Linked DNA regions of Danio rerio. The protein of the gene in region 1 interacts with the protein of each later gene in a biochemical or structural test. Links are inferred from orthologs where the notes say so. Each region holds a gene or a part of one and is shown in the gene's direction. Other genes may lie near its edges.

The links.
Region 2: the proteins of col1a1b (region 1) and sparc form a complex in vitro, tested with the Homo sapiens proteins (2 studies listed by BioGRID). The link is inferred for Danio rerio from reciprocal best matches to the Homo sapiens genes COL1A1 and SPARC.
Region 3: the proteins of col1a1b (region 1) and thbs1b form a complex in vitro, tested with the Homo sapiens proteins (2 studies listed by BioGRID). The link is inferred for Danio rerio from reciprocal best matches to the Homo sapiens genes COL1A1 and THBS1.

What each region holds. Positions count from the first base shown.
Region 1 is NC_133187.1:3,514,668-3,519,401, reverse strand, and holds part of col1a1b (collagen, type I, alpha 1b), read left to right. Parts: intron 1-286; coding exon 287-382; intron 383-1,090; coding exon 1,091-1,156; intron 1,157-1,389; coding exon 1,390-1,434; intron 1,435-1,529; coding exon 1,530-1,583; intron 1,584-1,691; coding exon 1,692-1,745; intron 1,746-1,825; coding exon 1,826-1,879; intron 1,880-2,003; coding exon 2,004-2,057; intron 2,058-3,783; coding exon 3,784-3,837; intron 3,838-3,926; coding exon 3,927-3,971; intron 3,972-4,066; coding exon 4,067-4,120; intron 4,121-4,734. UniProt on the Homo sapiens protein: Type I collagen is a member of group I collagen (fibrillar forming collagen).
Region 2 is NC_133189.1:30,213,763-30,218,496, reverse strand, and holds part of sparc (SPARC), read left to right. Parts: intron 1-1,350; coding exon 1,351-1,484; intron 1,485-2,466; coding exon 2,467-2,615; intron 2,616-2,705; coding exon 2,706-2,854; intron 2,855-4,422; coding exon 4,423-4,451; 3' UTR 4,452-4,734.
Region 3 is NC_133195.1:31,775,629-31,779,149, reverse strand, and holds part of thbs1b (thrombospondin-1), read left to right. Parts: intron 1-494; coding exon 495-729; intron 730-821; coding exon 822-1,049; intron 1,050-1,389; coding exon 1,390-1,661; intron 1,662-1,963; coding exon 1,964-2,061; intron 2,062-2,920; coding exon 2,921-3,060; intron 3,061-3,157; coding exon 3,158-3,165; 3' UTR 3,166-3,521. UniProt on the Homo sapiens protein: Adhesive glycoprotein that mediates cell-to-cell and cell-to-matrix interactions.

The sequences.
Region 1 (4,734 bases):
CAAATGTCATAGGTGTTAAAAAGCTTGTATTCATATTAGAGGTAAACTGAAGGTAGTTATTAAGCATTTAACCTGTTGACCTTTACTTGTTCCGCTGACCTTTGACCTCTTTAACCTTATGTAACTTGCACAACGTTGCATATTAAAGCTTTTTATATATATTATGTCACTTACAGCACAGTTTAAAACTTTATATGATATTTTATACACGTTATGCAAAACAAAATGATAATAAAATCAGTATGGAAAGAAATTATTGTTCATGGGTCTCTGCTGTGTTTTACAGGGTCCTGTTGGGCCTCCTGGCAGAGATGGTACTCCCGGAGAGAATGGACTCCCTGGCCCTCCTGGTCCTCCTGGGACCTCTGGCCTTGGCGGCGGAGTAAGGAATTAATTCCGATATTTATATATATTATTTTTTATTTAATCTGTGAATCTGGATTTGAGTTATCTGCATCCTACAATTATATTTAGGATAACCAGACAGAAAGAATCTGTGCATAGTCTTCCACTGCTACACAGTAGATTTTTATGTTTGCCATAGAATATATGATATATATGAAGGTAAATACAGTAAAAATGTGTATTATTATTGCAATAAAATACTAAAGTAATAATTAACTTTTAGTAAAAATAAAATAATAAACAAAATATTGTTTAAAAAGATTTTTTATACATCGATTTCCTTCAGAAATTGCTAGTAATGCACAAAATGCAATGTGACATTTTTAGTAGAAATACTGAAGTTGAACGTCTTGTATTTTAATAATCTTATTCATTACAACAACCAAAATAATATGAGCTTACTGTGTAGTTCAGTACCTAACTATGTGAACAGCTCCCATCATTCCCACCACTAGGATTCACATTAGGTTGAACAGGAATAAAAGCAGACTGTGCACTCTTTAAAAGCAGTTTTTAAAGGTGTTTGTGGTTTATCAGATGCATGCTTTAATTTACATCCATGTGTATGACGAGTTCATTATTATCTGGCATTAAAATGAACTCAATCCTTGAGTAGTTCAGCAATAAATAATGAGCTGAAGATAATCACAGAAGCTCATACTTTGATTCTCTTGCTCTCCCGCAGTCTTTCCTATCCCAGATGGCTTATGGCAGTGAGAAATCCAGCGGTCCTCCTCAACCCGGACCAGCAGTAAGTCAGCTTCTCTATTTTTCCTCTTGTTCCTGTGGACAGAATAATCAGAATTTCTGATTATTCTGCACTCTTCTGTACATATCATAACTCACTGTTATTGTGCATAAACATCAATAACACTTTTAGAATCGGCCATTTAACAATGTTTAATGTTGTTAACAATAAATACTGGCTTTTAGGTGTACATTATTATTATGTCTACATTTAACATGTTGCTTTCTCTCTTGTAGGGCCCCATGGGTCCCCGTGGCCCCCCAGGACCTGCAGGTTCACCTGTAAGTTGGTTTTAATACTATAAAATAAATAGGTTAAGATTATAAACTAAATCTTTTACCTGAAATCTAACTGTATTTGTCCGTGTTTTTCTCAGGGCCCTCAGGGATTTACTGGCCCCCCAGGCGAGCCTGGTGAGCCTGGTTCTCCTGTAAGTACCTTGCATTTACTTTATTCATTCTTAGTGTTTCTATGTGGGAAAACTTTACATTTTACAAAGCATATATGCTGGTAAATATTATTATTAATCTGTTTGCAGGGTCCAATGGGTTCTCGTGGTCCTCCCGGCCCTCCTGGAAAGAACGGAGAAGATGTGAGTGTTTCTTTTCCTCCTTTAAATCATCTTCAGTAAGTCCTTCATGCCTATTTATATTGGTTTTTGCTCTTCCTTAGGGTGAAGCTGGCAAAGCAGGCCGTCCCGGTGAGCGTGGAGCAGCTGGGCCTCAGGTGAGATATTTTTCATTAATATTCATAGACATTTTGAATTAGTGTGTAGGACATGCTCATTGTGATGTAATATATATGTGGAGTTGTACACAATATAGATTGCATTGTCATGCTAATTTCACAGGGTGCTCGTGGATTCCCAGGAACCCCTGGACTCCCCGGCATCAAGGGACACAGAGTGAGTATGACAGCAAATAATATTTTTATTTTATTTTATTGCTTAAAAGATTCAATTATGTTTATTTATACATTGTCATTGTAAAGCCATTTTTGTAATACTCATATGTATTTAAATTATTTGTGTTTTCTGTTTTATGTGCAATACTCATGCATCTTTGCATAAATTAAGTATAAATAATCAGATTGTATAAAAATAAGTAATTAAATGTGTTATTTTATATTAGGTTGCATTATTTCTTTAGATATTCTTTAATATAATGCTCATTAAATGTGTTGTTTTTTTTATTTTGTGTACAATATTGCTTAATATTTTTTTAGCTATTTAAGATTTAGATTAGCTTAGATTTTAGCTTTGTTTAATGCGATTTCTCATCATATGTTTTTAGGCTATATACATTAATTTATATTAAGTAATTCTACATTAAGTAATTAAATAAATAAATATAAAATTGCATAAAATAAGTCATTAAATGAGTCTAAAGTAATAAAATAAGTCATAAAATGTATTATTTTATATTAGGTTTCATAATTTTTTAGATATTCATTAATATAATGCTCATTAAATGTGTTGTTTTTATTTCGTGTACAACAGTGCTCAGGATACATAAATAATTTATATTAAGTCATTCTACATTAAGTAATTAAATAAATAAGTATAAAATAATGCAATTGCATAAGATAAGTTATTATATGAGTCTAAAGTTATAAAATAAGTAACTAAATGTATTATTTTATATTAGTTTGCATTGGTTTTTTTTTAGATATTCATTAAAATAATGTTCATTAAATGTGTTGTTTTTTATTTTGTGTACAATATTTCTTAAAATGTGTGTTTTGTAAGCTAATTTAGAGTTAGATTAGCTTAGATTTTAGCTATTTGTTTAATACAATTTCCCATCATATGTGTTTAGGCTACATAAATTAATTTACATGAAGTTATTCTACATTATGTAATTAAATAAATAAGTATAAAATAATGCAATTGCATAAGATAAGTTATTAAATGAGTCTAAAGTTATAAAACTTTTATAAACGTATTATTTTATATTAGGTCGCATATTTATTTTTAGATATTTATTAATATGCTCACCAAATGTGTGTACAATAATGCTTAAAATGTGTTTTTTTACCTCCTTTCATACATTCCAAAATTTTTGTTATTTATTTAATGAAATTTCCCTTCATGTGTGTTTAGGCTATATACATTAATTTACAATAAGTAATTAAATATATATAAAATAATGAAATTGCATGAATAAAAAATGTATTAAATGGATTATTTTATGTTAGGTTGCATATTAATTTTAGATATTCATTAATATACTCACCAGATGTGTTTATTTTATTTAATTTGGTCTACAATGTTGCTTAAAATGTGTACATTCTAAATTTTAGCTATTTATTTAATGCAACAAGAAGTACAGCTTTCTGTGAATGTTTCAAAACTGACATTTTATTGCAAATTGCATTGTTTACACACTTTAGTTTAAGTTAACAATTCACTTCATTAACTATTTTATTAACTGCTTATCATTAAGATATAACCTGTTTATTAGTACTTCTTAAATATAATCCTATTCTACATCCTTAATTCTACCTAATATCAAAACTACTACCATAATAACTATTAATAAGCAGCAAATTAGTAGTCTATTAAGCTTAAGTCTAATAATAGTGAGAATTGTACCTTAAAATAATGACCGTAATTTTATTGCTTCATTCAGGGATTCCCTGGTCTAGATGGATCTAAGGGAGACGCTGGCATTGCTGGACCTAAGGTTAGATTTTTATTTTTCACATGCAGATATTATTATTCACATGTATGCCACATTGCATCCTCAATTAATCATATTTTCACTCTGTTTAGGGAGAAGCTGGTTCTCCTGGTGAGGCTGGAACTCCTGGAGCCATGGTGAGTGGATTCGGACAGCATTAAGAGATCATGTAGATATCTTAAAACCTAAAACTAGTCTCATATTCGCTCCTTTTTTTTCCTTCTTTATTCAGGGTGCTCGTGGTTTGCCTGGTGAGAGAGGTCGTCCTGGTCCTCCCGGTCCTTCTGTAAGTAACTACAATCTTACAAAAACATCTTGAGTTGATTCATTTAAACTTTATGTTGAATATTCAGTACAGTCTTATCATGTTTACACCTCATATGTTTATTTTGCTTATGCATTTATGAGCAATACATACTGATTGTTCTTGAGTAAACATTTATAAGTGTGATAATTTGAAGTCTGCATTAATGCAAACAAATTAAAGTCTGTTACTTGATTATTGAACAAAATGCATGGATATTTATAAATTGCTTTCACATGTATAGTCATTCTTATTTCAAGAATTGCTGGCTTGTGCGAATCTCAAAAGAATAGTTCACCCAAAACTGAAAATTCTGTCTTCATTTACCTGTCATACGCTTGTTGTTTTAGTTAAACACAAAAGAAGATATTTTGAAAAATTCTGCAAACCTGTAACCATTGATGTCCATAGAATTTGTATTTCCTTCTATGGATGTTATGAATGGTTACAGGTTTCTAACATTCTTTAAAATATCTTCTTTTGTGTTACAAATCGATAACCAGTGAGATCTATAGTAGGAAATACAAATTCTATGGAGGTCAATGGTTACAGGCTTCCAGCTTTTTTCAGAGTAAATTTAATAGTGAGTACATGTC
Region 2 (4,734 bases), on another chromosome or scaffold:
TTTACAGTACTCAGTTGGTTTGAGTTCTCTTCATTTATTGAGTTTTACTGTGCTCAAATTGCTTCGTTTACTCAAATGGATTAAGTTAAGAGTATTCATTAGGATTAGTTTTTGAACTTAAAGGGTTTGTTGCAATCAGTTTCCTCAAACGGTTTAAGTAAGCTTAACTGTTTGGGCTTTACAATGTAGAATTTAAATACATTTTCTTCTATGAAAGGTGTTTAATTGATTATAATTAAATGTATTTTTACAATATTTTATGTTAAATATGTAAATACAGCATTAAATTTGGTATTATACACAATTAAACTGATAAAATGTTTCCCTATTTATCAAACTATCCTATTTAAGATTTATTTATGTGTTCTTTCAGGCAAACACAATCTGAGTAATATTAAATAATATCCTGGCTCAATTTGTGATGACAGTAAACATAAAAGTATGGCAGTTGCTGGAAACCAGTGATAGGAGTTTATAAAGTTATAAAGATAGATATTTTCCTTATAAGTATAGTATCAATAACTGCTGTTGATATTGCTATAGTGAGTAATAACTTTAAAATATAGAATACATTTAAAAACGTTAAGTGTTTAGAAAAATGCACTTCATAATTTGACCACACGGACAAAACCCGTTGGTAAATAATCAAACACTTTGTTATTAATGATAATTGGCTACTGCAATCAAAACATCAGCAGAAACACGTGTGATTGGTTAGAATGCTCATAGCCTAACAACATAAGAAATTTAATATAACATTACTCTGATGTGACATTAGACAACTCTGTCTAATGGTGAATTTTTGGCAATTTCTTTGGTACATTTTATGTACATTTTTTTTTCTCAAGCCAATAATTTCTGACCCTGATTCGCACAGACTTTGAGCGTAAAACTCAGACCACTCACAAACCCGGCCATCAATGCTGAGTGCTTTGGAGTGATTGATGGCTTGTAGCTTTGAGGCGTCCCTGTTGCCCTCTCCAAACACTGAGTACAGGACGAGCCCGAGCTTGCACAAAGCACACTGAATCCCCTTAAATCTGCCTGATCCACCACCGCTGTACAGTTGATGGGATGAGTCGGGAGTGAAGGGCTCAGATGGAGCTCCTGCTGTGTCGTTGTCTCATCGCTAAGCAGGGTGTCTCAGTCAGAAACTCGCTAAATGTGTTTCTGGCGTAAACGAATTAAGCCCTAACAGCTATTACACTAATATTAGCCAGAGGGCTGTAATTTGCCCCCTTTTAGGCTATAATACTACGGTATATGTCAGCACAGGAGGAGCACTGGCATGCTGTTTGTGTTTATTATTTGTTTGAAATGGATTGCTTTATTGTGTGTACTTTTGTTTAGACATCGCTCCCTGCTTGGAGAATGAGCTGAATGAGTTCCCCCTGCGCATGAGAGACTGGCTGAAGAACGTGCTGGTGACTTTGTATGAGCGTGATGAGGACAACAACCTGCTCACCGAGAAGCAGAAACTCAGGGTAAGTTCAACTTCGTGTTCTTTACAGTCTGAAAAACCTTTATGATGCAGCTTGACTAGCTGATTTTTCCATTTAACTCAGCATAACAATTTAAAGACATCTGATTTAGAAAATAGAAAAAATAGAAAACTAAACTATTAATAAAACTACAGTAGTTACTCAACGTAACAGCAATAACAGAGAAATAAAATATAATAGTTTTCACAATTAAACTATTTATGCTATTTTAAGGAATCTGAATTTATGTACTTTATTTTAGAAAAATCTAATAAATGCAAATAGTCAATTATAAATTATGATAATTAATTTTTAATTTGATTTTAATTTACTACCTTAATGTCAACATGACATCAAATTGACGTCTAGCATTGGCAACAAAAAGCCAAAATCGATTACAGCAGTGTTTCTCAACCACGTTCCTGGAGGACCACCAGCTCTGCATATTTTCCGTGTCTCCCTAACCAAACACACATGATTCAGATCATCAACTCATAAGCAGAGACTAAAAGACCTGTAATAGGTGGGACAGACAAAGGAGACATCAAAAACATGAATTGGGTTTGCAGTGTTGGTGCTTCTGCAGAAGTGTGGTTGAGAAACACTGAATTACAGGACAGTTTTTATATGTTTTCGACGTCAATGTTAGATGTCAATTTGATTGCATCAAGATGGTTTACATGCATACTATGAATATAGAATCGAGTGTAAAGTTTAACTTGGAATCGTAGCTTTCAGATGAATAAAACTTTCCTTATATTATTATATAATAATTTTTGTGTCATTATTTTGGTGATCAAAATGGCATTAAATCAATTTGCATTTTTGACATGTTTTTTAACATCATACTTGATGTCAATTTGATGTCATTTTGACATAAAGGTGCCCTTTGGGATGTCCATATATCACCACATGTCAGATTTCTGTATGGGAATTAAACCCACATGGCTCTAAAATTCCAGCAAACCTTATCCTGTTGTTGCAGGTGAAGAAGATTTACGAGAATGAGAAGAGGCTTCAGGCTGGTGATCACTCTCTGGACCTTTTGGCCCTGGACTTTGAAAAGAACTACAACATGTACATCTTCCCCGTTCACTGGCAGTTTGGCCAGCTTGACCAGCACCCTATTGATGGGTATGCTGTCTCATTTTTACAACTATTTTAGCTAGTTTCATCCTATTATTCTATAAGTTTCATTTACATATATTCTATACATTTCATCAGGTTCCTGTCCCACACTGAGCTGGCCCCTCTGCGTGCTCCTCTTATCCCAATGGAGCACTGCACCACCAGCTTCTTTGAGCAGTGCGATGCTGACCAAGACAAGTACATCGCTCTGGAGGAGTGGGCAAACTGCTTCGGGATCAAAGAGCGTGAGTTTCTGATCATATGATTTATCTATGGGTAACACTTTACAATAGGGGTCCATTAGGTAAATGTTAGCTGATGTTTTACTGTGGCATCAGAAAAAATCTGAACAATACATTATCTTGGTTAAGGTGTAAAAATATTTTTAGCCATTGTTAAACCACAGTGAATTAAATAATAGTACCATAAACAACTTTGAATTATTTAATAATTGATCAGTAAATGTTGAAATAAACATATGATTAATAAATACACAAAACTGTGACCCATATAGATGCATATCTTTCTCTTTAGATAGATAGATAGGTATTAGTGGTATTTATCAAATTGTTTTCGAATTGGATTATGGAACCTTGATCTTTCGTCCAACGTCATTTAATGTTGAATATTTTGATATTTTGAATAATAATAATAATAATAATAATAATAATAATAATAATAATAATAATAATAATAATAATAATAATAATAATAATAATAATAATAATTATAATAATAATAATAATAAAAACTAAAAGAATTTGTTTACATTTTTAATTTTTTGAAGTGATATACTGCCTGGACTGGTGTTGTAAATTATGGTACAAAAACATAAAAATACTCTGCCAGAAATTTTCCTTTTATTTTTCAGACTTTCATTTTTCTAAGTACAATATTTCTTATACAATATATTGTTTCAAACTACTAACATTTCAATACAACTACAGAGTTGAATTTTCAACATCCAAAGTTGACAGAGCAGAGAACAAAGTCCCATAATGCAATTCATAACTGTAAATATGAAGATTTTTATGATGGATGAATAGATGGATGGATAGGTCGATTTTTTTGCTACCAAATTTACTAATAAGACGAAAATATCGGTATTGTGTTGTATTAATGTAAATATACACTTAAAGTCATTATTATTAGTCCCACTTTGAATTTTTTTCCCTTTTTAAAATATTTTTCAAAATGATGTTTAACAAAGCAATGAATTTTTTTGCAGTTTACCTGATAATATTTTCTTTTAGTAAAAGTCTTATTTGTTTTATTTCGACTAGAATAAAATATTTTTTTTTAATTTAAACACATTTTTAGGTCAAAATTATTAGCCCCTTTAAGCTAGATTTTTTTTCTAAAGTCTACAGAACAAACCACTGTCATACAATAACTTATGAACCTGCCCAGGTAACCTAATTAACCTAGTTAAGCCTTTAAATGTCACTTTGAGCTGTATAGAAGTGTCTTGATAAGTATCTAGTGAAATATTATTTACTGTCATCATTGCAAAGATAAAATAAATCAGTCATTAGAAATAAGTTATTATGCTATTATGTTTAGAAAAGTTTTTCCAAAATTTTGACAGGGGTTGACAGGGGGGCTAATAATTCTGACTTAATCTGTATTTCTGAAAACCTTATTGCTTTGTACTGAAAAAAAATCTAAATTACAAATGAAATGTCATCAGTTGTTTACAGTATAAAACAAGTATTATGTTTTGCTTAAATACAATTCTGATATTTTAAGTAGTTTACACAACTGTATACACAGCAAAAATTCCTTGCTAACTTAGTCTCTTTTCTGCTTTCAGAGGATGTCGACAAAGACCTTGTCATCTAAGGACGTCTTCCATTGATGCTTCCTAGTTATTATTGGGGGGAGGTGCTAACCCTTAAGTTAAAATCAAAGTAAAGGTGCTAATTGCGATTTCTAACAAGCTGCATATACCACTAAACATTCAAAATGTTTAAAAAAGTGCACAGTTCACACTGTAGCTATATCACAACAAGTGATTAAATACTGGCCAATTTTTTACGTTAGCTGATGTCAGCCAAACAAGAGAGTTAAATATTATGAACCATGTATATTGCAAGATACACTTTTTGTTTTGGATCTACAATTT
Region 3 (3,521 bases), on another chromosome or scaffold:
CATTGTTATACAATAACTTGCCTAATTACTCTAACCTTCCTAGTTAACCTAATTAACCTAGTTAAACCTTTAAATGTGACTTTAAGCTGTATAGAAATGTTTTTAAAAATATCTAGTCAAATATTATTTACTGTCATCCTGGAAAAGATTAAATAAATTAGTTATTAGAAATGAGTTATTAAAACTAGTTGGTTCAGAAATGTGTTGAAAAAAATCTTCAAATAGGGGAAGAAAATGGGAGGGCTAATAATTCTGACCTCAACTGTATAATAGAGAAAACTAGGCAAGACATATATTTAAATTTGTGATTTATTTTCATCCATTATGAAAATGATGTTTGTAAATGTATATATGGTTGTTGTCTTTTTTTTTCTTTTTTTTTTAAATAAAAGTACCTGAAATCCAGAAGAGGAACCCATAATTTAAAACGCAGTAGAAATGTGAATACTGAACCAAAAATTTTAAATATTTATTCTCTACTTGAACCCCAACAGCTGGACTCTGATTCTGACCGCGTTGGAGACAAATGTGACAGTAACCAGGATATCGATGAAGACGGTCACCAGAACAACCTGGACAACTGTCCATACATCCCCAATGCCAACCAGGCTGATCATGACAAGGACGGTAAAGGAGATGCCTGCGACTACGATGATGATAATGATGGCATTCCTGACGAAAAAGACAACTGCAGACTGGTCTTCAATCCAGATCAGCTAGATTCTGATGGTGCGTTTTACACCGGAATATCTGTAACACTTCACATTGCACTCATAAATGTACAGATTTATACTTAAGCGTTTACCTTCCTCCTTTTGCAGGCGATGGACGTGGCGATGCCTGTAAAGATGACTTTGACATGGACAATGTTCTGGATATCTATGATGTCTGTCCTGAGAACTTCGATATCAGTGAAACCGACTTCCGCAAGTTCCAGATGGTTCCTCTGGATCCCAAGGGCACTTCTCAGATCGATCCCAACTGGGTGGTTCGTCATCAAGGAAAAGAGCTGGTTCAGACAGTCAACTGCGACCCTGGCATTGCTGTTGGTAAGCTAAAAAAAAAGGGTAGAATTAAATTTAATGAATGCTACGACAGAAAAATATATGGAAAAACACCTGGAAATGCTAACTTTATATACATAAACGGTTAACAAAATCCTGCATGGTACCTTAGCTTGCAAAGACACATGCATTATATAATGTATTTATTAACTAGCACAAAAATGAAACAAAAATAATTATTATATTAAATATGACTGGATAAAACTTTATGCAGTCCATTAATTTATATTCCATTCTGAATTCAAAAAGCATTAAAAAATGAATCATACAACTAAAATATGTCAGCAACCACAAAATTCTTACCTGTTTCTTCAAACTCTTAAAGGTTTTGATGAGTTCAATTCAGTGGACTTCAGTGGAACATTCTTCATCAACACTGAGAGGGATGACGACTATGCTGGTTTTGTTTTCGGATACCAGTCCAGCTCTCGCTTCTATGTGGTCATGTGGAAGCAGATCACACAGACCTACTGGTCCAGCACACCTACCAAAGCACAGGGTTACTCAGGGCTGTCCATCAAAGTGGTTAATTCCACCACAGGACCTGGGGAGCATCTGAGAAACGCCCTTTGGCACACTGGAGACACACCAGGACAGGTAAAGTGTGCTTCAATGGATAGTTCACCCAAAACTGAAAATATACTCACTATTTACTCACCCTCAAGTGATTCCAAACCTTTACGAGTATCTGTCTTCTGTTAAACATGAAATAGATATTTTGAAAACCTGTAACTATTGACTTCCAGTAGTCAGAAAAACTGTAACAAAATTCTGTGGAAGTCAATAGTTACAGGTTTCCAGCTTTCTTTCAAATATTTTCTTTATTTCTTAAGTCAAACGGATAATATCAGGTTTGAGAGCCTTCATGTGAATGCTAAATTTGACTTGATTTGTTATAGGTGCGCACATTGTGGCATGACCCAAAGAATGTGGGATGGAAGGACTTTACTGCTTACAGATGGCACCTGACACACAGACCAAGAACTGGACACATAAGGTAATATTATAAACATTATTAAATCCAAAACCTAATCTAATATATTTAAAAAGCTGCAAAAAAATATTGTTATATATCGAAACTAAAATTTTTCTAGTGTATTTTTTATTACAAATACCATCTGAAATCATCATGCAGGCAAATAATATTAGTCTATAAATAAGTCTAAAATTAAATGATGATGCTTAAAACATGAAAAATAGCAAACATTTGTATTAGTATTAATGTGTCATACACATTCTTAAAAGGCTATTTTCAAAAGTTCACACTTAGCTGATGATTGATTATAAAGCGTGTTTGGCATAAGATCCTCAAGCCCAGGGCTCCCTCCCGTTGCAGGGCAAGAGTGGAATTTGAGCTCAGGTAGATCTTGAAACTTCCCTGCCGTAGTAGCTAATGAACAGATAGGGATTGCTCTTAAGATTTAGCTACTTACTAGGAGCACGTCTATAGTGGCGATTTAGATTAGTCAATTAGTCAGCCGGGGGGCCCATGGGAAACCTATGTGACCACGGGGAGAACATGTAAACTCCGCACAGAAACGTCGGCTAGCTTGGTAACGACTAGAACCAGTGATGTTCTTGTTGTGAGGCAACAATGTTAACCACTGGGCCACTATGCCACCCATCCAAAAAAGGAGGAGAAGTAGGGGTGGAAGAGGGCATTCTTCAAAACGAAGATGGTTGTGATATGGGACTTAGGGTATTTATAGCTACTTAGGAATCATCTAATTGGTGAATCATAAATATGCTAATGCATGACCAGCTGTGTTTAATCATAAGCACGTGATCCTCTCGAAATGAGTTTCCAAATTATCTTCACTTAATGTGCTGACAAAATATTTCTCTGCATATTTCAGAGTGGTCATGTATGAAGGCAAAAAGATCATGGCAGATTCTGGCAGAATCTACGACAAAACATACGCAGGCGGAAGACTAGGTCTCTTCGTCTTCTCACAAGAGATGGTGTATTTCTCAGACCTCAAATACGAATGCAGAGGTGAGCATCAACACATCGCATAGACTTCTAAACAAGCACTCATTTACATCAATTCCCGAAACTCAACAATAACTCTTCCTGTCTTTTCCTTTTTCAGATGCGTAATTGCACAGGCTGGAAGTTTATCAAAGATGCACCTTTCGATATAAATATGTATTCCAAGCAAAGTCCAGGGACAGATTCGATGCTACTTTTTTTCTGCTGTCGCTCGCACACCGGTGGAGTGAGAAAGCAGCTGGTCAACTTCAATGTAATGTCACTGGTTGGGATAGAAACCGGATCTAGACTCCTCCACCATTAGCAGGTAGAGCAGAAGAAAGTCTCCCTCGCTTGGCTTATTTGGGAAGACCGAGATCTCTCTGAAAAACCTCATTGGGCTCTGTGTGGGGAAAAGCTCCCAGCAGACAGCTATGCACTTCAAAACCTTTATTCTCTCTCTCTCTCATGCGCTTCTATGCTCT